Linked DNA regions of Notamacropus eugenii. The protein of the gene in region 2 interacts with the protein of the main gene of each other region in a biochemical or structural test. Links are inferred from orthologs where the notes say so. Each region holds a gene or a part of one and is shown on either strand. Other genes may lie near its edges.

Region 1 (7,285 bases), on a different chromosome or scaffold from region 2:
CAGGTATCATTATATCCATTCTACAGAAGAGGAAACTGAGGCTCAGAGAGGCTAAGTGACTTGCCCATAGTTGAATAGCCAGTAAGTGTAGCAGTCTGAATTTGAACCCAGGTCATCCCTGTTCTATGATCAGTTGGAAATTAGTCATAGAGTTTTAAAGATCGACAAGACTGAGAGCATATAGTCCTAGAGAAATGGGATGTTTACAACTAGAGAAGATCCTTAGAGATTATTTCACCAAATTCTGTCATTTTACAAAGAGGGGGAAACTGAGATCCAGGGCAGGGGGATGGATGTCCCAAGGTTGAATGGCAGTTGAAGAATCAGAATTAAAATCTGAGTTTCCTGTTTAGTGGTTTTTTTTTCCACCACGCCCCACTTTTACTGAAGCTTTGAAATAGAAATATTTAAATTTCCCTTAAAATGCAGCCACAGGTTTTGGATTGATTAATTCATTAGGCTGTGAGCATTCAGCATGTTCTACCCCAAAATGGCAGCTCCTGCTGTTGCATGGAGAAAACATGCTGTCTTTGCTTAGTGTTTTTCAATATAAAGGTGACAGAAGGAAAAAGGGCACTGCTGCCAATCCCCCATAATTAAACACCAACAAGAGACAGATTCAGGGAAAGGTAAGCCATGGCACCTGTGGCAAATAACGGCTGCTGGCCTTCTTCCTGCCCAGTGCTTTCTCCCATATGTGTGTGGTTTTGCTTTTCTCTCTATCTCTATCTCTCCCTTGCTGTGCCTCTCTGTCTGTGTCTCTGTTCCCTTCCCTTCCCTTCCCTTCCCTTCCCTTCCCTTCTTTTCTTTTCCCTCTCATTTTGTTTTTCTTTTTCTGGAAATCTCTCTTTCCCTTCCACCCCATACAACTGAGCCTTTCTTGTAATATAAGAGAAGTTAAGCAAAAAACACTCAATACAATATCTTTGTCTGAAAATGTATACAAAATTCTGCTTTAGTAATCTCCTGCCCTGCCCCTCTGCTTAGAGGATGAAACATTTATTAAATACTTATTATGTGTCAGGGACTGTGCTAAGTATTGAGATACAAGAAAAAGTAAAAATCAGTTCATTTTCTTAAGAAATTTAGTCTAATGGAAGAGATCACATACCAATAATTATGTACAAACTAAAGATATACAGGAGAAACTGGACATCATCGACAGAAGGAAGGAGTCTAGCATTTCAGCTGAAACTTGAGGAAAGCTGAGATGAAGGAGGGAGAGCATTCCAGGCATGGGGGACAGCCCTGGAAAGTGTCTGCAGTTGGGAGCTAGATAGAGTGTCTGGTTCCAGGAATGATAAGGGGGCTGGTGGTTGATATAGCCAATCTTGGGCTTTAGGAAGATCATTTTGCCAGCTGAGTAGATGATGGACCAGAGTGGGGAAACATTTGGGGCAAGGGGACCAAGTGGGGACTATTGCAGTCATCTGGGTGTAAAGTGGTAAGAACCTGCACCAGGGTGGTGGCAGCTTCTGAAGAGAGATGGGAATGCTTGCAAGGAGAGTTTCAAAGGTAGAACTGATAGGCCTTGTCAATGTCCCTCCTGTTAAAGGAGATTCCATCTCAGAAGGGGAGACAAAATAGAAACGGGAACTGGAAAGTTGGATGTTATATGATCTCTCCTTTCCTTTTCACCCACCAAGCACTTATTTAGCACCTACTGCATGCTTAATTGGCATTGAGGAGAAATATAATAAGGAATATAATATATTATATTTATATTATAATATAAATATAATAAAGACAGTTTCTGTCTTCACAGAGCTTAGAATCCACTAGGGCTATAGATAGCATATACACTGATAAGTAAACATGAGAGACCTACAGAATAAATATGTATCTATATCTATATCTATTTCCTTCTTCCCATCTCTTTGCGTTCAGCCTCTTTCACTTAAAAAAATGAAAACAAGTGTTATTTGGTACTTTTTGTATTTCTATCTATCACTAGCTTATTTTGCTGTCTCAGGCTGGTGATACATCCATTCATTAGCTGTGCCCAGGAGGGATCTGTTGATCAAATTGGGATCTTATTGTTTCCCACCAACCAAGCTCCAGAGCAAGTACGTAGCACGCTTGCTTTTTGAAACAGAGACACTACAGGGACAGCACATTGAGTTCCATGTCCGCAGGCTCCTGGTGGAAATAAAGCAGCCCCATCGCTGACATGTAGGGAAGCCTGAGTCTGGTGGAGGCCCGAGGGGGTTAGCTCAGCATGCGGACTCAGTCTGCTGCTCTTTGGAGCAGTCTGGAGTCGATTATCCCTCATTTGAGGAGTTATCTGTCCAGTTCTCTTGGCCGATTAAGTGGCTGATAGCTGGGAGGCCAGGGAGGTACAGTTTGTACACAGTTGTCCTGGCTGTGTCCTAATTAGAGAGGGACTCAGGCGCCCCATCACGTCTTTGATGGCTCCTGACCTCAGGCTGTCTTATATGCCTTCCTGTCTGTGCCACCCTCTGACACTGTGGAAAATTGGAAGATGAAAATCAATAGAAATGGTACTGATTTACCGAGTTAGTCACTGTGGGGGTTTTGTCAGAAATTCTCCTGGGGTGGTGCTAGGAGGAGGAAGCCTTGTCAAAGTCATTCATGCTACTGATTGTCCTCCTTTCTTCATATTCAAATGATTTTTTTCTGATAATTGTTAAGGATGGATGTTTGGACTTTTCCCACCCCCACCACACCCCATCATTGGGAATGACACCTGTCATTTGCACTATGGAATCATAGATCATAGACTTAACCTTGGTAGTCATTGGGTTCATTTCCCTCCACCCCAATATTTTTACAGAGAAGGAAAGAAACTAAGACTCAAAGAGGAGAATCTACTCATATTAGCTCACACAGGTAGTAAAGGATTAAACTCAGTATGATTTTAGGTCCTCTGGCTCCATTCTCTGTCTTTTTGCTGCCTTCCATTCAAAATTAAGAATAAATGATATTTTGGGGGAGTGTTGCTTGAAATAATTTGCTTTTAACAAGTCTTGTTGGCAAAGATTTTGTGTGACCCAAGGAATGGAATGGAATGGAAGATGATAAAGAGTTGTGAGTTTGGGAAAGACAGGTGAAGATAAGTGACTGAGGTAGCTTGGTAACTGTAGCCTGGTGAGCAGTACTCTCCAGCAAGCAGAGACTAAGATTTTACTATTCATTAGTCTCTTAATCCCATCAATAAAGGAGCATTTATTAAGTACCTGCTTTGTGCCAGGGCCATGCAATTACAATGAATGAAATATTTCCTGTTGGAAATGAGCTTGTCTTCAGAGGAGAGACATTAAGGCCATGTGTAAGTATACCTTGATAGAGTGCTGGGTCTGTAGTCAGAAAGATTCATCTTCCTGGGTTCAAATATGGCCTCAGACACTTATTAGCTATGTGACCCTGGGTAAGTCACTTTATCCTGTTTGCTTCAGTTTTCTCATCTGTTAAATGAGCTAGAGAAGGAAATGCCAAACCTCTCCAGTTGTCCAGAAAACCCCACATGGGGTCTCAGAGAGTCTGACACAACTGAAAGAACTGAACAACAAAAATGAGTACATACAGAATAAATAGAAAAAGAATAAGTACAAACCGAAAGAAAGTAGTTCAGTCCAAGGGAAGGGCACTAGCAGTTGGGAGTGGAACCGGAAAAGGCTTCATGCAGAAGATGGTACCTGAGCTGAGTCTTGAAGGCAGAGAGGGATTCTGTGAGGTGGAGGTGAGGAGGGAGGGCATTCTAGGCATGGAAGATAGGCAGCCAGTACAAGGGCAGAGAGACGGGAGATGGCGGGTCTTCTGTGAGGGGAAGAGGAGACTATTTTGTCTGGGTTGCCCAATACAGGAGGGAGAATATTGTCCAATTCAGCCAGATAGATGGACTGGGACAAGATCATACAGGGTTTGCAAAGTCAAAAGAATTTTGGATATGATATTTGTAGCAAAAGAGAGCCATTGATAGGGGAAGTGACTAGATCCGAACTGGACTTTGGCAACAATGTGAAGGATGGACAGGAAAAGGGAGACGAAGCAGGAAGGTCAGTTAAGATAATGCTACAATAATCTGAGGAGGAAGTGTTGGGGAGTCTAACAGAGAACACAGTTGTATGATTAGAAAGGAAGGATAGGGATGTGGGAGTCAGGATGCCCGGAATTCAGCGCAACAGAGCTAGGATTCAAAAGGGTTTTGAAATACTTTGAGCACATAATCTCATCTGATCTGTGCCTCATCCCAACTCTTTTCCTATTGGTTCTCTTATTATCCTCACTTTACACGTTGAAGGAAGAGGTTCAGAGAGTTAGTGACTTGCCCAGATTTCACGGCTACCAAGGATCTGAGGTAGGGTTTGAACCATACTCCAGTTTTCCTTATTCTAAGAGCAGCACTGTCCACTGTTTGTGTGACTGAGCAAGTCCCTTTGTCCTCTGCAGCCCCTTCTCCCTAGGGCACTTCCTAGATTTGAACCCAAAGTAAAATCCAAGAAGATAATTCAGGTCTCTGGGACTTGTGTCAGCCTCCCCGTGAGCTGCCACTGCACAACCAGGCTCATGGAGAGCAGCCTCAAAGGGACAATAGCCAAGTGGGGCAAGGATGCTGCTTTGGAAACATCGTGGGATTCTGATCTTACCATTTACGGCATGATGCCCATCATCTTCAGCGCAATTTGCAAGTTGTTGGAATTCGACTCCTTCATTAATGGAATAATAATGATACTACTGTTGTGGCTGCTGCTTCTGCAGCTGCTGCAGAAGATAGCAGAAGCTGGCACTCATATGGCATCTTCAAGTTTGCCAGGCACCTTACCAGCATTACCTCATTTCATCCCTACAGACATCCTGAGAGGTAGGTGTTTTTATTATTACTGATGAGGAAACTGAGGAAGACAGTGGTTAGGTGACTTGGACAGGTCATACAACTAAGTAAATGTCTGAGGTGGGGTTTGAACCTGAGGTCTTCCTGACTCTGAATTCAGTGCTCCATTCCTTGTGCCACCTAGAGACCTCTTGTCCTTAAAGGGGACTTGAAAGTTCTTTACACTTCTAAATCTTTCTAGCCTTTTTTCTCTATGTTCTTCTCTGTCTCTCTCTCTCTCAATATAGTCATTTATAAAGTTATACACACATATACATGTATGTATATGGCCACATATTTAAAATTAAACCCTACATGGATATTTATACATACACACACATATAAAATCAAACCCAAGTTTGAGATAAGTATGTATGTCCATTTCTTTTCTTTCTTTTTTCAATCATGTTTGTTGCAGCCATAAGAAATATGTATCCTTTGACTTAATATTGGTGAAATCCTACCATACAATATTTTGCAGGAGTAAAGTAAATCATAGGATCCTAGATCCTGGGTTAGAAGGGACTTCAGAAGCCATCGAATCTAATTCCTTCATTTTTCATGGGGAAACTGAGGCCCAGAAAAGTTAAGGAACTTGTCCAAAGTCACATGAGTAATAAGTGCCTGAGGTGGAGTTGGAACCCTGGATCAGTGCTCTTTCCACTGTTCCATGGAGTGATAGGAGCCTCTTTTCACTTGTACCTTTTTCCATATCGCTACCAGTCAGTTTTCTTGCAACATCTCTCTCTCTCTTTACTTCCTAAACCTTTAAATTAATTTTTAACACACTGTGTGCCTTCTTTGTGCCTTAGGAACTGAAGACAGTTTCAAAGAAATGTGTCCCTGATGGGGAATTGGGATACCTGGGTTCTAGTCTGAGTATGGCCTGCAAGGTGCTGACCCTCTCTGGGCCCCAGTTTCCTCATCTGGAAAAGGAAGGGTTGGGACTAGATGAATTTTCAGGTCCCTTCCACAGCTCTGGAATGTTGTGATTTGCACTGAGCTTTGCTATTTTTAGGGAGATCATGTGTCTGTCAGATGACAGTCCCCAAGCCAAGATACGAGAGGAAGATGGTGGCAAAGTAGGGAATCTGTCTGTTTGTCATAGATACAGTAAGTTCTGACATTAGTAGGTCATCTTCTATAGTTCAAGTTTTAAATAGCTGCTTTCTGATGGACTGATGTGCTAATGATGATGGCAAACAGGCTTGTGGAGCTCATGCTCACACCTCGTCCCATTCATTTATACTTCTGGTCCTGACTGGTGATTTGATGAATAAAATATTTCTTTAAGTTAAGAGATTCCAATTTTCCCTGTCTGAAAAGTAATTGAAACACTCAAAAATCAATCCACTATCCCTTTTCCTCTCCCCTCCCCCCAGCCATCTTTAGGCAGCTAAGTGTCAAAGTGGATAGAGTGCTGGGCTTAAAATCAGGAAGATCTGAGTTTACATGTGGCCTCAGATAGTACTAGCTGTGTGACCCTGGGCAAGTCATTCTGTCTGCCTCAGTTTCCTCAACTGTAAAATGAGGATTATAATAGAACTTAGATCTCAAGATTGTTGAGATAATATTTATAAAGTTCTTAGAACAGTACCTGGCATATAGCAGGCACTTAATAAATCATTCCTTCCTTCCTTTCTTCCTTCCTTCCTTCCTTCCTCCCTCCCTTCCTTCCTTCCTTCCTTCCTTCCTTCCTTCCTTCCTTCCTTCCTTCCTTCCTTCCTTCCTTCTTTCCTTCCTTCCTTCCTTCCTTCCTTCCTTCCTTCCTTCCTTCCTTCCTTCCTTCCTTCCTTCCTTCCTTCCTCCCCAATGTGTTTTCAGAAATAGCCAGAGAAGCTAATTACTGGTGACAAGTAAAATATTTTTCATAACAGATAATGTAGTTATCTAAGGGATTTTGTCAATACATTTCTGATGTGCATTTTTTTTCTAAAAAAATCTTTACAAAGTTCTTAGCTTCAGGTCTAGCCTACAAGAAAGAATTGACTGAATTGTTATATATTAAAAAGACATGGTGTACTTTGGGAAAGATGGTAGTTTCAACATACGAACCAGTTCTCCCCACGTATCTCCCCCAGCAACACCCCTCCCACCCCACCATATACACTCATAAAAGCTACCAGTCGGGAAAAGGGATGGGGGGGAGATCAGAGAGGAATCTAAAACTCTTCAAAAAGAAAAAAAACTTGCAAGAAGGATATAGTAGGGGAAGGCAGTCTACAAATTTCCTGCAACATCAGCCCACAGTAACATAGTGACTGTCTAGCTAACAGTGACCTCCACAGCTTTATATGGTATTGCCCTTCCATAAGGATACAGCAGGGGAACACAAGGTGGATATATGCAGCATAAAATGACTTTGAGGTATTTCTTTATGCCTCTCAAACCGGCAAAAAATAATTAGAACTGACAAAGCTAAATGCTGGCAGGGTTTTGGAAAAGCAAGAATGC
Region 2 (7,699 bases):
GTCGATCCCAGAGAAGAACTTTTGTCTGTTCTCTTCGCTCTGAACCTTTGGCATGGTTCCACAGTGGACCGAGCTTTGGAGATCACTGTATGTGTGATCCTGGGTAACTTTTCTGGGCCTCAGTTCCTTCACGTGTAAAACGAGGAGGTCGGACAAGGTGAGGCCTAAGGCCCCTTCTACTTTCTGATCTAGAATCCTATTTCTAGAAGGGAGATATTGCTAGGCATAGGTAGATTAGATAGATGGACATTTGTAGATTATGGGACAGTGAATAGACTGGAAGGGACTTCAAAGCCCATCTATTCTTTCCCTCTTAGTTTATGGATGAGGACCCTGAGGGCTGAGAGAGTTACCTGTTTCAGGTCATACAGAAAATACTCAACTTCCAAGTGGGTCCTTTTTTATTAGTCTTTCTTTTTTTCTGTGAGATCCCAGGGTTCTTCCCTGCCTCAGTGCATTATACTAATACCTACCCTGGACAAGCAAGATCTCTAGTGGAATACTTACAGGATTGATTGGGGGCCTAGGGACCTGGGTTTTAGCTCTGATTCTACCATTAACATCACTTTTGGTGACTCTATTTCTTACTTCTGTGACTGTGGGTAAATAATTTCTCCTTTCTGACTGTTTCCTCATCTGTAAAATGATCTGAATGAAATTAATAATCTTCTAAGATTACTCTCCCAGGCGAAAATACCATTTATCTATGATCTCTTTTCCCCCAGCCCTTTTCTTTCTTTTTTGGGAGGTGATCAGGGTTAAGGGACTTGCTCAGGGACACAGCTACTAAGTGTCTAAGGCCAGATGTGAATTCAGGTACCCTTGTATTCCAAGGCTGGTGCTCTATCCCTTGTACCACCTACCTGCCTCTGCCTCCTCCCCTCTCCAAAGACCTTTTCTTCAAAACAAAACATTTGGTATCTTTTGTAGTTACATCACATTTCCTAATATATATCCCTCTGCCCTTGCCCTCCCAGAGAGCCACTCTTTAAAATAAGAAATAAAAGGGTAGAGAAAGAAGTTTGGCCAAACTAGCACATCCATCAGGCCTGACATTAGATGATGCTTCCTATACATATTCACAGACCCCCATCTCTGAGATAAGGATGGGAGGTGAAGTCTTCAGTACCTTGTTTTGGAGGCAGAATGGACGGGGAACTGGACTTGGAATCAAGAAGCCCCGGGTTGAAATTCTCCCTTTGATTCTTAAATGTTGACCCTGGGCAAGTCACTGAACATCCTTGAGCCTCAGTTTCCTTACCCTGTAAAAGGAAGGGGTTTGAGCACATGGCCTTTCAGCTCTCATCCATGGGCTGGGGTCTCTTCTTTCCCATCCCTTTTCTAGAAGACCCACCTTTCTTCCCAGAGGGACAGCTGAGTGGGAAGTGTGGGGGTGGGGATCCACTGCTCCCTTCCCTTTGAAAGCTCTTCTGCCTTTTACACACACAAAGGGTTTTTTAGGCTCCTTATCTCTACTTCTCCATTCCTTTGGAACCCAGTTTTTGCCAGTTCTGGGAAAAAGGATAGCTACGAAATAAAATCTCCCAAGCTCCCTGGAGGGAACAGGATGCGATTTGGTTTGACTTGGGGCTTTTTAAAAGAAAACGTTTTCAAGATACTTCCTTTTGGTTTAAGAATCCGGCCCTCTCTGGGCTCCTCAACTAGAAGAAGGAAGTTTTTTGTTGTTGTTTTTTTTTTTTTAGGTGGTGGGGGGAGGAAAGAATGGTGGAGTGGAGGAAGGGTTATCTCCTGTCTTAGAAATCGCATCCAGCTAAGAAGCCTCCTACTCCGTTTGCACAGGTGGGATTCTCCAAGAGAATAGGACTGTGGTCTCCTTCTCCCACCAGGATCTCTCCACCTTGGTCCCATTCTCCCACCACTCCATCATCAAAGGAGTCCTACAGCAGGAAGGCTTCAGTTTAGGGAGCTAGCCTTCTCTGCTTGAGAGTCTGGGGGACAGAATCTAAAGTGGGGACATTTATAAACTCCATGTCCTCTTCCCCTTCTCTCTCCCTCCCTTCCCGCCTATCTGGTCTTTGCGATCTTAGAACAAGCTAGTCAGGGATGAGGTACCTGTGGCCTCGAGGCCACATGTGGCCCTCTAGATCCTCAAGTGCATCTTACTTGAGGATCTAGAGGGCCACATGTGATTTTGAAGCCACAGGTCCCCTATCCCTGAGCTAGAGCATAGGGCCTTCCTTGTAAACATTAGGTGCTTAATACATGTGCATTGAATTAGATTGAATAACATTTGTGACTTTGGACAAATCATTTCCCCACTTGGAGACTGACCTTTCAGAGCTAATATTAGGAAAATCCTTGGCCAGCTTTGAACATGTTATAAAAATGCAGATTCCTAATTTTCAAAAATCTGGAATGAAATTGCAGTTTTCAGTTCTATAAGCTGACTGGACAAAATAAGGGAATCTGAATGCGGAGTGAGGATAAAGGAGAAGAGAAAGAGAAACTTCCTTATATGAAGAGGTGTGTGGGAAAAAGAGGCTCTTTCCCCTGTTCAGCAGCTCTCTCCTTCCCTTGAACCTAAGGCAGCTCACCTTCTCTGGACAGGGAACATTCTCCTCCTAGGCAAAGGGCAATAATCGATCAGACTTGGAGTTGGGAAGGGACCCGGTCTAAATCCTTGATTTCATCAGTGAGGATGCTGAAACAGTGAGGAGTGATTTGCCCATGATGGCACTGTCAATCAGTCAACAAGCATTTATTAATCACCTGCCACATGCCAGGCATAGTGCTAACAAAGAGGAAAAGACAGTCTGAGGGAGGAACCAACAAACAACCTACTGCATATACTCCAGCTGTATATGGGATAAATAGGACATAATTAACAGAAGGAAGGCACTGGAATTAAGAGGGGTTAGGGAGGGAAGGCCTTTGGTAGAAGATGAGATTTTAGTTGGGATTTAAAGGAAGTCAGGGGAGACAGTAGTCAGAGATGAAGGAGGGTCGACCAGACTTGGGGGACAGCCAGAGAAAATGCCTGGAGCAGAGAGATGGAGCCTGGAGGCCACAGACTAGAGATGGCACCAGGGGATGTGTACCTTGGTTGTGTGACCCCAAATGCTCTCAGCTTGGTCCCATGCACCGCCTTTCTTCTCCTTAATAATGACTTAATAGGTAAAACTCCCTTGCACAAGTGGGAGGGGAGTCTACAGGTGTGGAACATTGCGTATAAATGTCAGATTTGTTTCAATGGTTTAGTGAATTTTTTTCTTTTTTGTCTTATTCTTTTAAAAAATTTCTTTGTTATAACATAATTGAGGGGAGGAAGGGTGACAGGTAAAGGGAGGGATCTTGGTTATGGAAAAACAGCAGCTATCAATATTTAAGATGGCAAGAAAGGCATTTATTATCCCTATTTCAGAGAGGAGGAAACTGAGGCCAAGAGTTCTGAAGTCTGAGAGGAGACTCAAATTCAGGCTTGCTACTTCTTTTTGCTAAATCACCTGTCTCATTAATGCTTAGAAAGCATCATTAAAGTTTAAAAAACTTTTTCTTCACAAGAGTTGGGGTACCTGGATGTTATTTTTATCCTCATGTTACAGATTCAGAAAATGGAGGCTTAGCAAAATTGAGCTATTTGTCCCAGGTGTCACCCAAGTAAGCACCCTCTAGATGCTGGTGCCTCTCCTTTCCAGAATTGGGTCTTCTCTACCTCTGAATCTGGAGTCAAGAAGATGCAAGTTCAAATATGATCCTAGCCATTAGCTGGGAGACATAAGCCTCTATCAGCTTCAACGTCCTCACTGGTAAAGTGGGGGTATTCAGGGCTGTTAACAATAACAGGAGCACTTATAGAAACCTCTAGAGTTTGCTAGGTGCTTCACAAATATTACTGTACTTGATTCTCACAACACTGAGTGGTAGGTGCTATCATAATCCCCATTTTACAGATGAGGAAATTGAGGCTGCGAGGTGGCTTAGTAGATTAGAATTCCAGACCTGGAGTTCAAATCTGACCTCAGACACTAGGGTGGTGTGACCCTGGACAAGTCACTTCACCCTGTTTGCCTCAGTTTCCTCGTCTGTAAAATGAGAAGGAAATGGTGAATCACTCCAGTATCTTTGCCAAGAGAGCCAGAAAGGGCGTGACAGTCGGACACAATGAAAAACCTGACCCAAGTCACATAGGTAGTGTCTAAGGCAGGTCTTCCTGATTGCTGGCTCTCGGCACCACATGGCTTACTTGATTGATAAGGGGAGATAATATTGGTAAAGCATTTTGCAAACCTTAAAGAATAATGTAAATTATTTATTAATATTATTGTTACTTTTTTTTAGCTTTAATTGTTAACATTATTTCTTTTGTACACGGCCCCCTGGATGGAGTGTAAAGCAGATGCTTCCTTCCGCAAGGGACATCTCCTAAGAAATTAACAAATGCGTGCTAACTGCAGTGACGTCAGAGCTCAGCCCGCTAGGGTCCCAATCCACAGGTCTCCTCTACAGGAAGAACAAGGTCCTAGGGAGGAGGCTGGGAGAGAGGAAGTGTCTTTGCTCACTGCGCATGCTCAACTAGCGGGAGGGACTCGGGTGAGCTGGGCGGGGCGGAGGGAGGAGGAAGAGAGATGGAGGCTTCTTTTGCGGCTGCGCAGCCGCTTCCCCGGCCCTGAGGCACCTCCTCCACTTCCTCCTGCCCTCCCCAGACAGCCTTTGCGCCGGCTGGCGTGCGCGCTGACGTCAGAGGCGTGCCCCTGCCCGGGAGCGGAGGAGACCCCGCGCAGTGCTGCCAACGCCCCGGCGGAGAAGCTGAGGTGAGTGCTGGGGGCCCAGGGGCTTCTTTTGGGGGGTGAATCACCCCTTTCCCCCCGACCCGAGTCCCGTCGCCTTCCGCCCCGCGTTCGGTCCCCGGCGCCCGTCGCGAGCGCGCGAGGACGCTGGCACGACCCTGGGCGCCTTGGCGGCGAGGGCAGGTCCATCCGGGGCGCCGAGGGGGGCCCTGCTCGGGCCGGGCTGTCACTGGCCGCGGCGGAAGCAGGGGGAGGGGAGGAGAACGGGAAGCGGGGTACCTCTCGTTCGGGTCTCCCGGACCGGGCCGCCGCCGCCCGCCTGCCCTCCCTCTCGCCCGGCTCTCACTTCCTGCTTCGCCGCCCGCCGCGGACATTTTGCTGCGCTGGGGGAGGGGAGCGGAACCGCCGCCGCCGCCCCGGGGAAGCGGGGTCCGGGGGCCCCCCGAGCTGGGGCCGAGGCGGCGACGCCCTTCCTGCCCCACCCGCGCCACCTTGGGCAGCCCTGGGCTCCCTCCGCCCTGCCGGGCCGCGAGCCCCCCCTTCCCCTCACTCTGCCCATCCCAGGTCCTGCGCTGCCCAGGACGAGGGCGAGCGGAAGCCCCCCAGGTGCGGCGACCCTGCCTCCAGCCCCCCCTCCGCAGAACTCACCTGATCCCCGCCCGTGGGCGCACCTCCTCTTTGTTCCTTTTATCCTTTTTTTAAAGCGCTCTAGGAGTGCGGTGCAAAGATGACGTCATTGCCGAGAGCTGGGGTGAGAGGGTTAACTCTTTGGTGGGGTCCTGCCCCGTTAGCTTGCGGCTCCGCTCGTTCTGGGGGGCCTTTCTCTCCAGGCGAGTAAACCTGGAGCCGGGGGGCTGGGGAGGGTTCATCCATTGCTCGCTCACCTCGCAGCCCGGCCCAGGTGTGTGGTAGGGCCGGGTCGGACCGGGCGAGGGTGAGGTTCCCTGGCGGGGCTGCGTTAGCTCCAGGCCACTTGTATAGGGGCCCGGGATTCTTGACTGAACCGGACCGAGTGAAGGTGGTTTTTGTTCCGAGACAACCTCCCCCTCCCTGGAGGAGCCTATTAAATTGCATTTATTTGATCATCGGGCTAAAGGTTTTTTCACTTTTATTTTATTTTTTGCTGCAATCTAGGTGGTGAATGTGAAACGGCTTATTTCACCCATACTTTGTTTACTGTCTGTGTTTGGTAGTTAAAAATGACGTTTGAGAATTTTTAAAATCATGAACTCCAAAAAGAAGTCAGGAGTAGTCCTTGAGCTGGTTAGTTTTTATAGACACCAGGGTCAGGAATGAGCTAATGGCTAATCTTTTGACTATAAAATGCAGTAATAGAGAAGTGTGTGTACTTTTGAAAACTCGACACTCGTGTGATGCGTTAAGTAGGGTCCACTCATGTTTGAACATGTAGCTTGAACTGGTTTTTCCTTTGTGTGCCTGAGAAGAACTTGAGCCTAAGGACTGAAGTCGCACAGGTTTGAGTTTTGAGACGAAATTTTCGAGCATACTTTTTGCGGTGTGTTGTGGCTGATGATCCTTGAGTTGGGATTTTTCACGTGGTCTTGATATTTTGAGGAAGTCCGGAGATACAGCTTGGAAAAGAGTAGTACCTTGTTTTAGAAACCTTAAACTAAGACTCTTACCTGTTTAATAGTTACATATTTCCCTTCTGTGGTAGTAGCATCACACAGTTTAGATTTAGTCACTGGTAGATGACTGTAATCAGCAACTGTGGGTCAGCAGATTCGTTAAAAACAAAATTTCTACAAACCCAGAAAATAAGCTTTGTTGCTGCTGCTTAGTGTGGTGAAATAGAGTGTTTGGTCTTGGGACCAGAAAGATTTGGGTTCAGAATGTTCGCAGTCATTTAATAGCTGTCACCCTGGGCAAGTTAATAATTTCGCTGTACCTTTATTTGTAAAATGAAGGGTTTGGTTTTGATGGCTTCCGAGATCCCTTTTACCTCTAAATTGATGATTCTGTGATTATTTTTGAACTAATTACTACTTAGAAACACCTGTAAATGCTACAGCTGTGCCACTAATTATGCCCCCTGCTGTGCTGAATTAACTCCTTTAGGTTAACTGATCATGAGGGTTTTTTTGTAGGAAGTTGAGACAGGGATCCAGTTTTAGAACTAAAGAAGGCAACCTGGAGGATTTAGGGAGAGCTAACACCAGACAGGTATGGAGTGAACCTCAGTGCTTGGAAATACTTAATCTTGGTTTTAGTAGCTTATTTTTTATTAGTTGTTTGTATCCCTTTCAGGTTATTGTTGAAGTCTCACTAGTTTTTTTAAATGATAGAAGAAATAAAAGGAAGAAAATGTTTTGAATTTGCTTTTCACATCCAGAGAATGTTAAGGAAAGGTCTTAGAAATTCACGATTAACTATGTTGTTGGCTGCATGCTCATAAAATCTCTCAAATACATCTTTCATTGATGCTGTTTCTTCTGTTTGCCTGCCTTGGGGTCATTTCCCTTTTCCTCAAGAAAGGAAAATGGATTGATTCAACTTCCTATGACTAGGAGTGTAACTTTTCTAACTATGTTAGAATTGCTGAGTATGCCTAGCAGTTTCTCAGATGTGGTAGAGTTTAGCCCCAGTCCCAACCCCTCCAGCTTGAGAATTTTATCTAAGCTTCCTTAGGCTGGTACTTTCAAAAACTCATCTGCTTTCTATTCTAGACTTTGATGGTATTGCTTCATTCTAGTTTATCTTGTATAATGGAAAGAATACTGATCTAGAGTCAGGGGTCCCTAGTTTCTTATTGAGACTTGCCCCTTAAGCTTTGTCAACTTTGAGGGAGTCATTTAACCTCTCTTGAACTTTTATCCTGTGTAAAACTAATTCCTGTGTAGACTTTTAAAATAGTGTTGTAGATGGAGTGAGGAGTATTTTTACACCACTTTACTGTTGTAACTCTTTACTGACTTAGTAAAGTCCCGTTA
Region 3 (7,588 bases), on a different chromosome or scaffold from region 2:
GCCAAGGGGCAAAATGGCAGCCAGTGTCCTTGCCTGCGGGTGTCTCTTGCCTGGCTCCCTCAATGGGCAGATGACTGTTTCTCCTGGATCCAAGAGGCTGGAAGTTGACACACTCTGAAAGAAAAGAACAAAGTAAGTGTCTGCCCACAGTGGAAAGCTGTCCCTACCATTTCATTTTCTTGCCCTGGTCCCCACCAGAAGCCATCCTTCTACACATTCCCATGACAGTAAGTGCCCCTGGCTTTCCAGTGACTAAAGGGAAGAAGACAGAAATGTCAGGATCAGGAGGAAGACAGGTTGGAATGTCAGACTTCAAGGAACTTAGAACAGTCTAGACTACAAAGGACTGTCAGAGGTGAACCTTGTGGATTTAATGTCACCCCCTCACTTTAGAGGAGGAAACAGAGACCCAAAGAGAAGGGACTTGCTTGAGATAACGCAGCAAGCCTGTGGCAGAGCCTGACCGGAACTCAGGCCTCTTGACTTCCAGCTCCCACCACCACATTTTATCCCCTCTGCACTGTGTATACAGGACAGCACTGCTATGTGTGGCCTGTAGTTTTGCCTGCCCACCTAGACTAGGAGCTCCCAGAGGACTCAGGTAGCCCTGAATGGGGGAGCCCACCTAAACCCCCTACCACCTCCCCAAAGCCCTCATTATCATGGGATCCCAGGAAAAGATTCGATCTGCTCATTGATAAGGTGCACGACTGAGCAGACTTGCCAGGTGGGGACTAAGTCCAGATGGGCCAGGCCCTGCACTCACAGCTGGCAGGCCAGTAAACCTCCTGGCACAGAGCCAGGGCCCACTCTTCCTATTGGTGAGGAACCTCCCTCCCTCCTGCTCCCTTCAGCAGCCTGGCCACCCTAGCCCCTTTAGCTCTAGGGCTCAGATCTCAGGGTCTATAAACCCCCCCTCCAAAACCCCTTGCCTCTCAGCTGAGGGCCTATAAGGCTGTTCCCAGACAGTGAGCGTTTCCACAACAAACTTAGCCCATGGGTGGGCAGAAGTGCTTGCCAGACAGCTGCTTCATTCTGGGCCAGATGTGTCCACCCATTTCCAGATGTGGAACTGAACAGGGAAAGAGTGGGGTGGGGAGGTACTGCTGGCCAGTTCCTCCCAGTTGTCCTGTGGGTGTCAAGCCCCAGGCAGGTCTCTGTCATCTGGATCACATCTGATGAGGGCAGGAGGTCTGTGGAAGCCAGGCCACCAAGCCACCAGATTCTGGGGGAGGATCAGGTGGTGGTAAGGAAGAAGCCCCAAGTTTGGAGGACCTGGACCCCCTCCACTTACTCTGAGGGACCTCGCAAAGCCCCTTTTCCTCTAGGATTAGACCAGCTATCTTCACAAGCCCCAAATTGGGCCTGTTTCTGTCCCATCCGTATCTGTCACCTCAAAGCTTTAGGAATGAATGTTTAACACCAACCTGCCCTCCTCACAATGAAACATTTTCTAGTGGGAAAAGTGTGCTGACCTGGAGACCTGAAGCTGACCCCAGCTCTGCCAACCTGGGAGGCCTGGTAGAAACCACTCACAAGCTCCCTGACTTCAGCTTTCTGCTCTATCAAATGGGACCCCTGGCTCAAGGCCCTGGGAGCCTATGAAGATAACCTCCATTTGGGACATCACAGAATGATTGGATGTGACCTCAGAGGTCATAGACTCCAACCCTCTCATGTTATGGAGGGGGAAAGTGAGGCTCAGTAACCCAAATCCTCTGACCCTCAGCCAGGGTTCCTTTGTTAAGATGTCTTCCCATGAATTCACACAGAGAGGAAGAGGGAGAGAGGGAGAGAAGGAGGGAGGGAGGGAAAGAGGGAGAGAGTCAGTCTTAAATCCTAACTCTCCAGGGGCCAGAGATTTCAGGGATTTTACAGGATGAGAATTTACCAGGAGCCACAGAACGGGGTTCCCCTTGGGGTCGGGAGCTCAGCGGCTAACTCACAGGGGCCAGTAGATGGCGCCACGCGCCCCCTGCACATAGAGCCCCCGGCATGGGGTGAGACTCTGGAGTCCGGTCCTTGCCGGGTTACACCCGTGGACGGGAGGGAGGGTGGAGAGAGGACAGGGGGGTCATGGAGAAAAGCCATGCCTGGCTCTGGGCTGCGAGCTCGAGCCTGCCGCCCGGTTGCTCTTTGAATGGGGAGGGGGCTATGAGACCCTCCGCACCGGGAGGGCCGGGGGCCGGACCCCGGCACGTCACCAACTACGCCTCGGCAGAGGGACGCCCAGCCTGCCGAGCGTCCCCGAGGGCTCGGGGGTCCGACACCAAGGGAAGTGAGGGCGCCCCAGCTCGAGGCTTGTCCGGAGGCTGGAGCACTAAGGGCCGTTCGGACCCCCTCCCCACCCCCAAGCAGGGCGCCGCCAGCCCTGCCCTGCCCTGCCCTGCCTAGCCAGGATCTGTTTCAGGGCACGGCTAAAGATAGGCGCACACCTCAGCCATTTTCTAAAAATACGGGGCGCTCTCCCCCTCCCCCTGGGGCGGGACGGAGAGCGGGGAGGGGGGTTGCACCCAGGATCAGGAGTGGTAGCTGAGGGCAGGGAGGCTGCGGGAGGGCTGGCCATGAGGCTGGCCGGGGGTCTTGGAGATCCCTAAAGGAAGAAGGGGCACGACTGGCCGGGAGGAAAAGGGGAGGAGTGAACCGAGGAAAAGCTCCGGGAAGGAGAGGGAGGGGGGACAGGGACAGTGCAGGAGGAGGGACAGAAAACGCTGAAAGAGGCGGGAGGATCTGGGGGGGGACCCTCTCCACCCATCGAGCAACCCCTCACTCCCACCAGGGAAATTCCGTAGCCTGGCGTGGGGACCTCGGGGTGCCCCCCTCCTGAACAGCCGCCCCGCTTCAGTCCTATCTTACCCCGGGAACTTAGGGTGAGGTGCTCTCAGCCAAGCCGGTAGGTCCGGGTCCGGATGGGCTTAGGACGGACAGGCGGCGGCTGCCACAACGAAGACCCTCAGCTGTTGGGACCGAACTGTTCCCAGGCTCCCGGCCAGCAGCTCCGCCTCCGCGGGCCCCGCCCCAGGTCCCCGACGAGCCAATGACCGCCCTGGCTCTGGCCCGGCCCGGCCAGGCCCGGTCCGAGCCGGCTCCGCCCCTCCCCGCCCCGCCTCTCCAGCTGCTGCTTCGAGCTGTCCAGGGAGGTAGAGGTGGGGTGGGGAGGAGAAGGGAGGGAAAGATGAGTGTGGGGAGGAAGGAGAGAGTGGGCTAGAAGGAGGGAGGACCCGGGGGATCCAGCCCAGCTCGTGTCCAGCCTGGGGCTTTACCTTGAAGGATGCCTGGGGGCCATCGAGCTGGGGAACTCGACTCCCTTTGGCTGTTCAGTCCTAAAGGAATCTGGCCCCCACAGTGCGGGCAGGCTGTTAGACTGGAGGCACCCATAATTCTTGCCCTCAGGGAGTTTATATTCCGGCCCAGGGAAGTCCGGAAAGCTCTAGGTTGGAGGACTAGGTCCCGAACCTCACGTCTCGCTTTTCTGCAGGCCGTGTGTGCCCCATACGGGCTTAGGCCATTAATTCCTTGGAGAAGTGGGGGCCAGAAGGTCAAAGCTATTTTGCCAATACTGCTGAAAATACTTACTGATATGGTAAGTTTTGCTACCTGTGACCCACATACATCTTTAATTATTGAGGGGAGTTCTCAGTTTTGTAGAGTGTAAATGGGATCCTGAGACCAAACAGTTTGAGAACACCAGAGTTCTAACCATGAGAGCTTAGGGAACTTGCCCAGAGTCACACAGCGGGGCCAGTGTGAATCAGATGCAGAACTTGAACCCAGGTCTAACTGGTTTTGTCCACACTGGCTCTCGGTCCTTAGCCACGTGACCTATTGTATGTACATAAATATACAAGTTGTGTAGACATAAATACAGAATGTACAATCAAAAGGGACTACAGGAGTCTTTGGGGTAAGGCTGTGGAGCCCTGCCGCCACCTGCTCAGGTCTTCCCACTACCGACCTGTGTCTCACTACCTGGACCAAACCTGAACCCCTAGACCTAGGGCCCCACTTCCTGGGGAAGTTAATCCACACATCTCTACAGCTTCAGCCCAGGAGCCTAGCTGAGTTAATTCGTGATGGAGAACCCATCAACTAGTCCGCTTAACCCACTTCTGGCTGGACCCAGGTAGCCGACCATTTGACATCTTCCTGACCCATCCAACCATCTTCTCCTCCTCTCCCCTCTGCCCCACCCCTCTTCCCTAACCGAGCTGTTCATAAAGCACTCAGCACAGTGTCTGACACATAGTAGGTGTCACATGAACACTTATCCCTTCCCATTCCCCAATCACCTCACCCCCAAGTATCTTAGTTTTCCTGGTGAAATGTAAGTTCTAAACTTTGTATCCCGAGCACATAGCCCAGTGTCTAATACATAGAAAGCACTTGACAAAGGTTTCTTCCATTCCTTCTTGTAGAAGGTGACATTTAATCTGAGCTTTGAAAGAAACTAAGGATTCATCTAGTACCTAAGTATTAAAGTACTTAATCTTAGTACTTTCCCCCTCATTAACCAGTGAAATGGGTTAGCATCATTATCTCCATTTTACAGATAAGAAGACTGAGGTGTGGAGAATGAAAGCTATTAGAGCCTGCTAAGGTTTGGATAGAGGACTTGGGAGGCTGCGTTAGAGAGAGAAGGGGAATTTTGGGGTCCCTGGACCTGGCTTAAGGGGAAATAGGATTCTTGGGCCCAGGGCCCTACTTGAAAGTGACTGCCATGGTATTCTGAAACTCTGTGAGTCTGAGGGCTGAATGTATTCTTTCTGGGAAAGTCAAGATAAATCCTATTTTAAAACAGGTACATATGTGACAATTCATATCGACACAAAGCCTAAATTAGGGGCAGCTAGGTGGCAAATGGATAGAGTGCCAGCCCTGGAGTCAGTAGGACCTGAGTTCAGATTTGATATCAGACCCCCTACTAGCTGTGTGACTGTGGGCAAATCACCTAACCCTAATTACCTAAAAAAAACCCACCCAAAAACCAAGCATAAATTAGAAGTTAATTCTTCGTTTTAAGCAACTAAGGGGAAGGGCAAAAGTCTTTCTTTCTTCTTTAGGGAGTTTGTTATAGGTGAAAAACTTTTGAGTTCAATCACGATTCCTCTGAGCCTTCAGTTAGGAAAATTCCCAACACCTAGCAGAAGTTAAGCTTTCTACCCAACCATGCCTTTATTTATCTCCCCTTTGTGGTGGAGGCAAAATTCAATTTATTGGAAACATTTTGGTAACCGAATAGTGGACACCAGATTATATTATAGAATCTGTGGCTAGACTGGTGTCTAGAGAGGGACCTGGAATTTCCTCAGCCATGTCCTCCATCATATCTCCCCTCTAGCCAGAAATCAGTCCTCCCTAGGCTTACAAGTTCTTCCTTCAATTCAGACACTCAGAATCTCATTCCACCCCACTGGCCCCATCCTCATTAAAATATAAATTTGAGATATGCTGAGATAAAAGCTCTCCCTTTTACACAAATTGCTTAGGGTGGCATCCAGCCTTTCACCTAAAATCCTGTTCTTATTCAGTTCTGATTTTCAGATTTAGTCAAAAAGTGTCCATCTCTAGTCAAAGCACCGGGTTTTGCATCTGAATGGTTTTCCACCGAATCCTTATACACTTGGATATTTTGGGGGGGTGGAGGTGGAGAGGTGGAAGAGAAAGGAAACCTAAGGGTCGACCCCTTCCCCCTCCAAAGTGAGAAGAAAACAGAAGGCCAGAAGGAATCACAACCGGGCAGGCGAACTTTGAAAATGAGAGATTGAACATATTATGCACTTTATAAAGAAAAGCAAACTCTACAGAACAGAAATTATACTCTGTAAGTCTCTCCTGTTCTACAGTGTATATGGAAACACTTATTTTTACTTGATGTTTACTAAGTTCGGATTTTTTTTAAATGAAGTGAGAAAAAACCTTACTTTGCAGTTTTTCATTTGCCATATGTCGGTATACAGTCAAGTCAAAAAACATGTATTAAGTGCTTACTGTGTGCTAAACATCGTGTAAAATCAGTCACAACCTTCAAGGAGTTCAAAGTCTAATGCAAATACGAGAGAATAATAAATGTGTTTCTATGCTGCTTACAAATTGCTTCCTGCTTTGCTTCCACTGTAAACTCCTCGAGGCTTGATCTTTGCAGTGTTTTCTTTGCCTCCCCTAAGTGCTTGGTTGATGACTGATGGATTCCATCCACTCAAGAACTCTGGTGGTAGAACCTTCCTCCTGGGAGGTTTTTCCATAATTCCTTTGTAACAGTCTTAGAGAGTTGCCCAATGACAACAAAGAGTGAAATGCCTTGCCTCAAGTCACACACCAGAATCTGAACCCAGGTCTTCCAGAGTCCCACGCTAGTTCTCTATCCTGAATTCAAATGTGTCTCAGACACTTACTAGCTGTGTGACTGTGGCTAAGACACATAAAATTCGGTTTGCCTCAGTTTCCTCATCCGTGAAATGGGGACGATAATCGCATCTGCCTCCCAGGGGCTGTTGTGACTTGACACTAAGGTGAAATGATATTTGTAAAGGTATGGTTTGCTCTGCAAACTATAAATGCTAGTTATTATCATCATTATCTACCATCGGGTGCTGTCCTTTCTAGGACTAGTGTAACACATTTTCTTTGTTCCGCTCCTCTTTTGGAACATTTTTACTCTTTCATATCTTTTGTTTTTTAACTTCACTTTTTTTCTAAACAAGTCTCTCCCTATCCCCTGCCCAGAGAACTAACCCTTGTTAACAAAAAATACAAAAATGATTAACAACCTAAAAACCAATCATTGCATCAAGTGATGAGATTGATAGAATATGTAATACTTGACATCTACAGTCCCTTTAAATAGGGGAGGGATCTCTCTCTAAGGCCAATCTTGGTACTTTTGTTGATACAGAATTCAATGTTGTTATTACTGTTTGTTTTCTTGTCCATTTACTTCACCTTGCCTCAGTTCGTATAAGTCATTCTCTGCTGCTCTGAATTCTTTGGGTTTTTTTTTTTATGGTGTATGCTGTTCCATTACATACTAGAATCCACAGCATCAAGGTGAGCTACTGCACTGATGGTAAATTCTTCAAGTTGAAAAGGCGATGATGGTGCATGACTTTTTGTTCGCAGATGATCGTGCACTCAGTGCAGCCTCTGAAGCTGAGATGCAACAAAGAATGGACTGATTCCCCTCTGCTTGTGCTAATGAGCCTGACTGACAAAAAAAGGAACCAAGGAAACACAGGTGCTCCATTAGCCAGCACTGAACCATTCATACGTGGAACCATTGGTTACAACAAATGGAGAAGGTTTGAAAGCTGTGGATAAGTTCACTTACCTTGGTAGTGTACTTTCCAGGGATGTACACATTAATAATGAGGTTGATGCATACATTGCCAGAGCTAGCTCAGCGTTTGGAAGGCTCTGAAGAAAAGTGTGGGAGAGAAGAGGTAGGTATTAGACTGACTACCAAACTGAAGTTCCACGGAACTGTAGTGATGGGGTTCAGACTCTGGGAGCCTCCTTGAGCTCCCCTTGAATCTTCCCACTTAATCTGGCCTTTCTTACTCAACTCTAATCTTCCCATTTGTTCTGGCAATCT
Region 4 (6,268 bases), about 48 Mb from region 2:
GCCGTCTTCATGGGGGGCTTCTTGCCCTCGGGCCCCGACGGCGGCGCCGGCTGGAGGTCAGTCCGGGCTCCGGCTCCGGCTCCGGGGTGGGAGAGCCGGCAGCGGGCCCCGAAGTGGCAGCGGCCCTCCTGGTAGAACCGGCAGGTGGGCGCCGGCGCCCCCGCCTCCGCCATGCCGCCGCGCCCGGGGACCCAAGCGTCCTGGCCGCCCTTCCGGCCTCGCTGGGCACGCCCCTTCGGAGCCCGTAGCCTGGGTGAGGCCCTTAAAGGGACTGGCTCCCCGGAGGCCGGTCCGGGGGCTATCGCGCCCGCCAAAGAGGGCGCGTCGTAAAGGCCTCCCTAGGGGAAGCGCAGAGGCGGTCACTGTGGCCGCGGAGGCCCACAAGGGAGCCCGGCTGCCGTGGAACACAGCGCGCTCCCGGCCCGGCTGCCTCGGGGCTGGGCAGTCCGGGCCGGCTGCGCCCGCAGCCCGGTACCGGCTGGAAACACCGACGCCAAGCAGTCGACATAAATGGCTGACATTTCTTTATATATAAAGATTTTCTGGGCTGGGGGTGGGTGGGGATGGGGATTAGCTGGGCATGGAGGGGTGCTATACAGGGGGCATCATATAAAAAACTTCTGGTGCAAGGCCGGGGCCAGCCTGGGGCCCTGGCCAGGGTGCTGGGGACACGGCCAGCTGCCGGGGGCCGCCTACAGACCGATCACTTCCTCCAGGTCCTCCTCAGAGCCGAAGTCCGGCCGGGAGACCAGCAGCCCGCCGTTGGGGGCCCTCGGGGCAGCTCCCGCGTCGGCCAGGGCGCCCCGATCCATGACGCCTAGCACCTCCTCCAGGAGGGAGGGCCCCAGATCCAGGTGAAAGGACAGGAAAGGGTCTCCGGCGGCCGGCCGGGCCTCGGACTGGCCTTCGGAGGGCCGTGGGGGCTGCGGAGCGGTGGGGGGTGGCAGGGCTGGGCGCGCTGGGGACGGGGCAGCCGAGGGGGCTGGGGAGGGGCCCGGGGAGGGGCCGGGGGACGGGCCGGGGCCCCCGCCGCCGTGGCGGCTCAGGAAGGACGTGTCCCCGAAGGCGTCGCCCCCTCGTCCCACATGCATGGTGTGCCGAAAGTCCCCCAGCGGAGCGGAGATGGCATCTCGGTCCAAACGCTTCTTGGGCAGGGCCGGGCCCAGCTGTTTCAGGATGGGCATCTGGGAGAAGAGGGGCGCGGGTCAGCCCTGCGGGGTGGGGAGGCGGAGCGGGAATGTCCCCCCTCCTGAGTCAGGCGTCCCTGGAGCCCCGGGCTGAGGCTGTCCCCGCTCATCCCCAGCGGGAGGGCCTGGCTCCCCCGGGAGTCCCTCGCCCCTGCCCCTCCCCCTTGGCAGCTGTCTGCTTCCTCCAGCTGCATCACCTGGGCATCCTCCTCCTTCTCCACGTGTCCCTAGGTCACCCCCTCCCTCTGCAAACATCCCGGTCCCTCCCAGGCGGAAATCACACCCACCTGGATCCCGCTGGACTGGTTCTCCAGTTCCCGGAGAGGGCTGGGGGGTGGGGAGCCCAGCCAAATCTGAGCACCCTCTTCAACGTACCCAGTCTACCCTGCTCCCCCCCCGCCCACGTGGCTTCTTTGCCCAGGAGCTGGGCCCATCCACCCCACTGTCCCCCTTACTCTTTAGGGGGATCCTTGGGCCCCGGGAGGGTCCTCAGTCCTGGCCAGCTCCACTCTGCTGGGGCTGGGCCCCCTGGAGTCCGACACCAATCCCTCCTTTCACCTGGCAAAGGGAGAGCCAGTAGGGGCCTCAGGGACCCAGGAGTCTGAACACCCAGCTCTCGCTGCACTCAGGGACCCTGGCATCCAGCCTCCCAGCCTCCACCCCCTCAGGGATCCAGGCATCCGAGTCCCAGCCTACCTGGCCAGACCCAGCAGGTCAGCCCCAGTTTGAGGGGGCCATGGCAGGAAGGGCGGCAGGAGCGAGAGCCTGAGGATCAGGAGCCGACGCCCAGTCTGGCCCCTCTCGGGGTTGGGAGGGTTAAGTCCCTGGCCCCTCCTCCCCATCCCTCCCTGTGTCAGCCCCAAAAGTTTGGCTCTGGGATTTAAAGGGCCAGCTGTCCAGGAATTCCCCCCAGGGTGCTGGACCGCCCCCTGATTAGGGATGAGGGCAAGGGGGAGGAGGTTGGAATTTCTCTAGGGGCTTAGGAGCTAAAGGAGGCTTTGAGCTGCTGGAGGAGATGCTTCAGAGCCCCTCGGACATGCCCCTCCCCCTCTGTGCCCCCACTGCTCTGCTTCCTGGCCTGGAATTTCCTGGAGCCTGGGTTGGGAAGGAGTAATGACTTCCAGATTCAGCTGATGGGGGATGGGGGTGGTACTAGACAGGAGAAGAGACCTAGAGTCAGACGAAAGACAGCTGAGGGTCCTTTCAGGGGCAGGAACACAGGTCTCCCCAGCCTCCCTGCAACTGCCCAGCCAAGGCCGCCCTCTTGGGAGCCCTGGAGAACGAGGAACAGCAATCATCCCGGGATCCCTCCCCTCCCCCTTCCATTTCCATCCCCCTTCCCTGGGGGACTACCCTGAATCTGCTCCCTGCCTCCAGTCTCCAGCTCAAGAAGCTGGAAAGAGTTTCGAGTTCTGCCCCTCTGCCACCCACCCACTCACTCATTCATTACCAGGGAGCTCCCTAGACAATCCCTCCTCACTTTCTCTGGCTCCAAGGGATCTCCAGGGTCTTTTCCAGCTCTCAAGGTTGTTTTCTTCCACCTCCTTTACGTACACGTCCTGACTCTCCTTCTTTTGTGCCTCTTTGGGGCCTGCCACAAGAAGCCTGGGGTATTTTGGGGGAGATGTTGCTCATTCAGTGGAGCATTGAGAGGGAATGAGGAGTTGGGCTGTTGGGTTGGAGGGGAGACCCTGTCCTGGACTCTCCTCTTCTTAGCATCACCCAACGTGGCAAGTCCTGGGTGGGACCTGGAGGATGCACTGGTCAGAGACTGGACCCAGGAACCCCACATTCTCCCAACACAAGCCAAAGGGACCTTCATCATCATCTGCTCCCATCCCTCCTTTATCTGACAAAGAAGAAAGCCAAGATATTTAAGGAGCAGAGCCAGGACCCCAGGTCCCACTCACAGGCTCATGAGGACCTGGGGGGCTTAAACATTCCCTCATTTGGCAGAGCAGGCAAGTGAGGCCAGGGAGATAGCATCTCCTACGTGGCTCACAGAGTGACTGAGCACACATCTGGCGCCCAGAGTGTGGCTCCTCCGCCCTCCATGTTGGGCCTACATCTTGCACTATGGACCAATGGGAACCCAGTGACCTGGAATGAGCATTTATGAAGCATCTCTTCTGAGCTAGGCTTGGTGCTGGGGATACAAAAGCAACAGGAAAGAAAGGTCCGGGCACCCCAGGGTCCTTGGTGTCTACTAGGCTGATTTTTTTCAGCTTGTCCCTGTGGATATAACCTTCTCTTTTCAGTTTCCTCATTTGTAAGACAGGGATGAGCCCCCTCTTCCTCCTGCCTAGGCAGAATGTCTGTCATTTCAATCTTAAAGTTAATGGAGATGGATGGGAGCTACTGTTGTCAGTTTAGTTCTCCTCTTGAGTGTGTGACTGGGGGAAGGGGAGGAAAGAAGGGAGGAAGAGACCCTTGGTCCTTGGGGCTAGGGAGCTAGATTCAGGGTCAGGTCTGGGAGGGCTAAAGGATGGGGAAATGATGCAGAATTGCCTCTGGTGGGATGTCGAGTGAAGCTCTTGCCTCCTCAAAAACTTGGAAGTGGAGAGTTGGGTCACATTAGTGGAATTGGGAGGAGTTCCAGAAGAGATCCCTAATGCAAGGAGGTGATCGAGGGCCCAGCGGAAGGTTCAGAGGAGACTGGATTCCAGCTCTAGCTTTGTCTTCTATTTGCTCTATAACCTTCAGTGTCCCCCTCTCTAGAGGATAGGTGTGCGTTGGCTTCCAAGCACCCAATTAACATGGACTTGGCAGTTCTATTGGAATGTTAGGTGGAGCCTCCCTTCAGGAATAACTGTGTGATTCTGTTTGGAGTTGATAAGCTGTGATGTTTAATATAAAATTTTGGAATAATCTCTTTGTTCTCTCTGAAGTAAACTCAGAGAATGCCTTTCCTATGTCAGCAAAAGCCAGCCAAGGCCGACTCTACACTCCTTAAGGAGACCTTTAACCTAAGACACTATATCTTGAATAATGAGACTTTCCTTTGAATCTTATTATCTGTAGACACATACTATGTTATGGCATATTAATGGTAAAGAAAATATAGACATCTTAGGTCATAATTTCTATTGAACATTGTTTACCCTTTCCTATGTCAATTATCTGTTTAGGGGAGGAAGCCTGCCACTTACTAGTGGTGGGGTTTCTTTCCTTATCACCGAGACATATGCTTACCCAGCCTGAAATCCCAAGGCCTGACCAACATTGCTTTGTTAATTGTCCAGTCTTACTGAATTTATGGTTTGCTTAATTAGGAGAGTTTCTTTCTCACGGCAAAATGTATATAAGCCAGAAGATTTCTGCACTGGGTAGCCAGAACATTTCTGGCTCCATAATGCATTATGTTACCGTTTTCTTTAATAGGGAATTGATCAATTAATTAATTAAATCATAAAATGTATGCATTTAGCCTGTTGCCTTTTCTCTAACAAAGTTTTCAGGTCAACAGCTGTTATCAGCCCCTAGTCCTTGAGGAGGTCTCAGAATCAGATATGGATGCATGGATGGATGGATGGGTGGATGGAAGGATGGATGGATGGATGGATGGATGGATGGATGGATGGATGGATGGATGGACAGACAGACACAGGGGCCTACCACCATTTCTCTGTACTTTATGAAGCTGAAACCACAGGCAGATCTCATAGACATTCCCTCTTCCTATGCCTCATGCTTTTAGGCGACCACATAGGACTTCCTGAAATATTCTACCCCCACCTCCCACCCCCAGACCAGTCTCTGCGGACCAATGGTGTGGGACCAGGATCATTATGGAGCTGTTGGGCCCTGGGCCTGGAAAGGGGGCCCTGAAAGTGTGTGGAATTTCACCCTCCAGGCTTGCCAGGCTTCAGCCAGAAGTCCCCCCAGGGAAACCACTACCAATCCAGCCAGGATCAGTCGGATGAGGTTGGACACAGTATAATCCTGTGAGGTGGGACCTGTGGGGATAAGGCTGTTATTGGCTGAGTCTCTAAGGCATAGCTCGGAACTTAGGCTCTATCCTTGCATGCGATCTCTGGCTTAGGGGTCCCCCTTGACCTCAATAAGCTAGCTGAGGCTCCAGGCACATTGAGGCAACTTGTTTAAGGGAGCTTCTCTCCTGGAAGCCAGACTCTCAGTTCCTAAGATGCTCCTCCCAGTTTTCTGGTCATGGAGTCCCTGAGTCAGAAGGGAGGCAAGGATAGGGAAATACAGAGGTCTCCTCCCCCTAGATTTGAGAGGTCTGGTTGGCTCACCTATTGGGATGTCCACCTTCTCTGGGGAAATGTGGGGGGATGTGGGAGCTCCTGGGACTGGGGAAGAGAGAAGGGAGAGGGTTAGGGGCTCGCCAACCTCCCTGTGTCTATCCTGAGACCTCCTCCACCCACAGCCTGAGCATCCTTTCTTCTGTTTGTCATTATCAGAGGGAACCCAGAAGTTCAGTTTGCATGGGCTCATACAGATCACTGAGTCGAATCTCCTGATTTATACAGATGAGAAAAGAAGCAAGGAAGGCTGTACTGCCGAGTATCCTGAGCACAGAGTCGTTCATCCAGATGCTTCTCTCATGGGCCACCCAGACTCTTCTCCAGTTCTTTTCATCTCCCTGGGGAGAATCCTGACCCTGAGTCCCCCCCCACCTCCATGAGGGCAGCTGACCAGTGAGAGTTAGGGGGGCACAGGTGCCACCTTTGGGAGCCTTTGACCTGGAACTTGGAGGTCCCCTTACTTACCTGCTGGAGTATTTGACTCACTTGGGGAGAGGGTTTGAGGGTTTCCTAGGAATAGGGAAAAGGAAAAGATATCTCTCTTCTCTGTCTCATCTGGACCTCAGAGAGCAGAGGTGAGTGGAAGTTAGCACACCCCCATCTTACAGTTAAGGGGCATGCCACCGAATCCCAAGTGACAGAGCCAAATTCGGATCCAAGTTTGGTTCCAAAGCCACTCCACCACACTGCCTTGAGATCATCCCAAGTCTCTCCCTGCTCCCAGCTCAGCTCAGTCTGACTCAACTCATTTGAGTGTTCCAGTAAGAAGCACTCTACCCATTGTCAGACTCTGGGACCCCTCAATGAGCTCTCTGA

Evidence for each region.
Region 1: the proteins of CDC42 (region 2) and MCF2 form a complex in vitro, tested with the Homo sapiens proteins (2 studies listed by BioGRID). The link is inferred for Notamacropus eugenii from reciprocal best matches to the Homo sapiens genes CDC42 and MCF2.
Region 3: the proteins of CDC42 (region 2) and CDC42EP2 form a complex in vitro, tested with the Homo sapiens proteins (3 studies listed by BioGRID). The link is inferred for Notamacropus eugenii from reciprocal best matches to the Homo sapiens genes CDC42 and CDC42EP2.
Region 4: the proteins of CDC42 (region 2) and CDC42EP5 form a complex in vitro, tested with the Homo sapiens proteins (2 studies listed by BioGRID). The link is inferred for Notamacropus eugenii from reciprocal best matches to the Homo sapiens genes CDC42 and CDC42EP5.

Annotation. Positions count from the first base shown.
Region 1 is NC_092879.1:60,593,947-60,601,231, reverse strand, and holds the start of MCF2 (proto-oncogene DBL), read left to right. Parts: upstream 1-4,273; 5' UTR 4,274-4,527; coding exon 4,528-4,822; intron 4,823-7,285. UniProt on the Homo sapiens protein: Guanine nucleotide exchange factor (GEF) that modulates the Rho family of GTPases. Promotes the conversion of some member of the Rho family GTPase from the GDP-bound to the GTP-bound form. Isoform 1 exhibits no activity toward RHOA, RAC1 or CDC42.
Region 2 is NC_092876.1:62,146,172-62,153,870, forward strand, and holds the start of CDC42 (cell division control protein 42 homolog), read left to right. Parts: upstream 1-4,679; 5' UTR 4,680-4,772; intron 4,773-7,699. UniProt on the Homo sapiens protein: Plasma membrane-associated small GTPase which cycles between an active GTP-bound and an inactive GDP-bound state. In active state binds to a variety of effector proteins to regulate cellular responses. Involved in epithelial cell polarization processes.
Region 3 is NC_092873.1:18,114,302-18,121,889, reverse strand, and holds the start of CDC42EP2 (cdc42 effector protein 2), read right to left. Parts: upstream 3,021-7,588; 5' UTR 2,857-3,020; intron 115-2,856; 5' UTR 1-114. UniProt on the Homo sapiens protein: Probably involved in the organization of the actin cytoskeleton. May act downstream of CDC42 to induce actin filament assembly leading to cell shape changes. Induces pseudopodia formation in fibroblasts in a CDC42-dependent manner.
Region 4 is NC_092876.1:13,689,156-13,695,423, forward strand, and holds CDC42EP5 (cdc42 effector protein 5), read right to left. Parts: upstream 2,013-6,268; 5' UTR 1,884-2,012; intron 1,746-1,883; 5' UTR 1,643-1,745; intron 1,212-1,642; exon of another isoform or gene 1,185-1,211; coding exon 693-1,184; 3' UTR 508-692; downstream 1-507. Other genes in the region: LENG9 (leukocyte receptor cluster member 9), read right to left, coding at 1-173; platelet glycoprotein VI-like, read right to left, coding at 4,974-5,143, 5,441-5,497, 5,918-5,962. UniProt on the Homo sapiens protein: Probably involved in the organization of the actin cytoskeleton. May act downstream of CDC42 to induce actin filament assembly leading to cell shape changes. Induces pseudopodia formation in fibroblasts. Inhibits MAPK8 independently of CDC42 binding.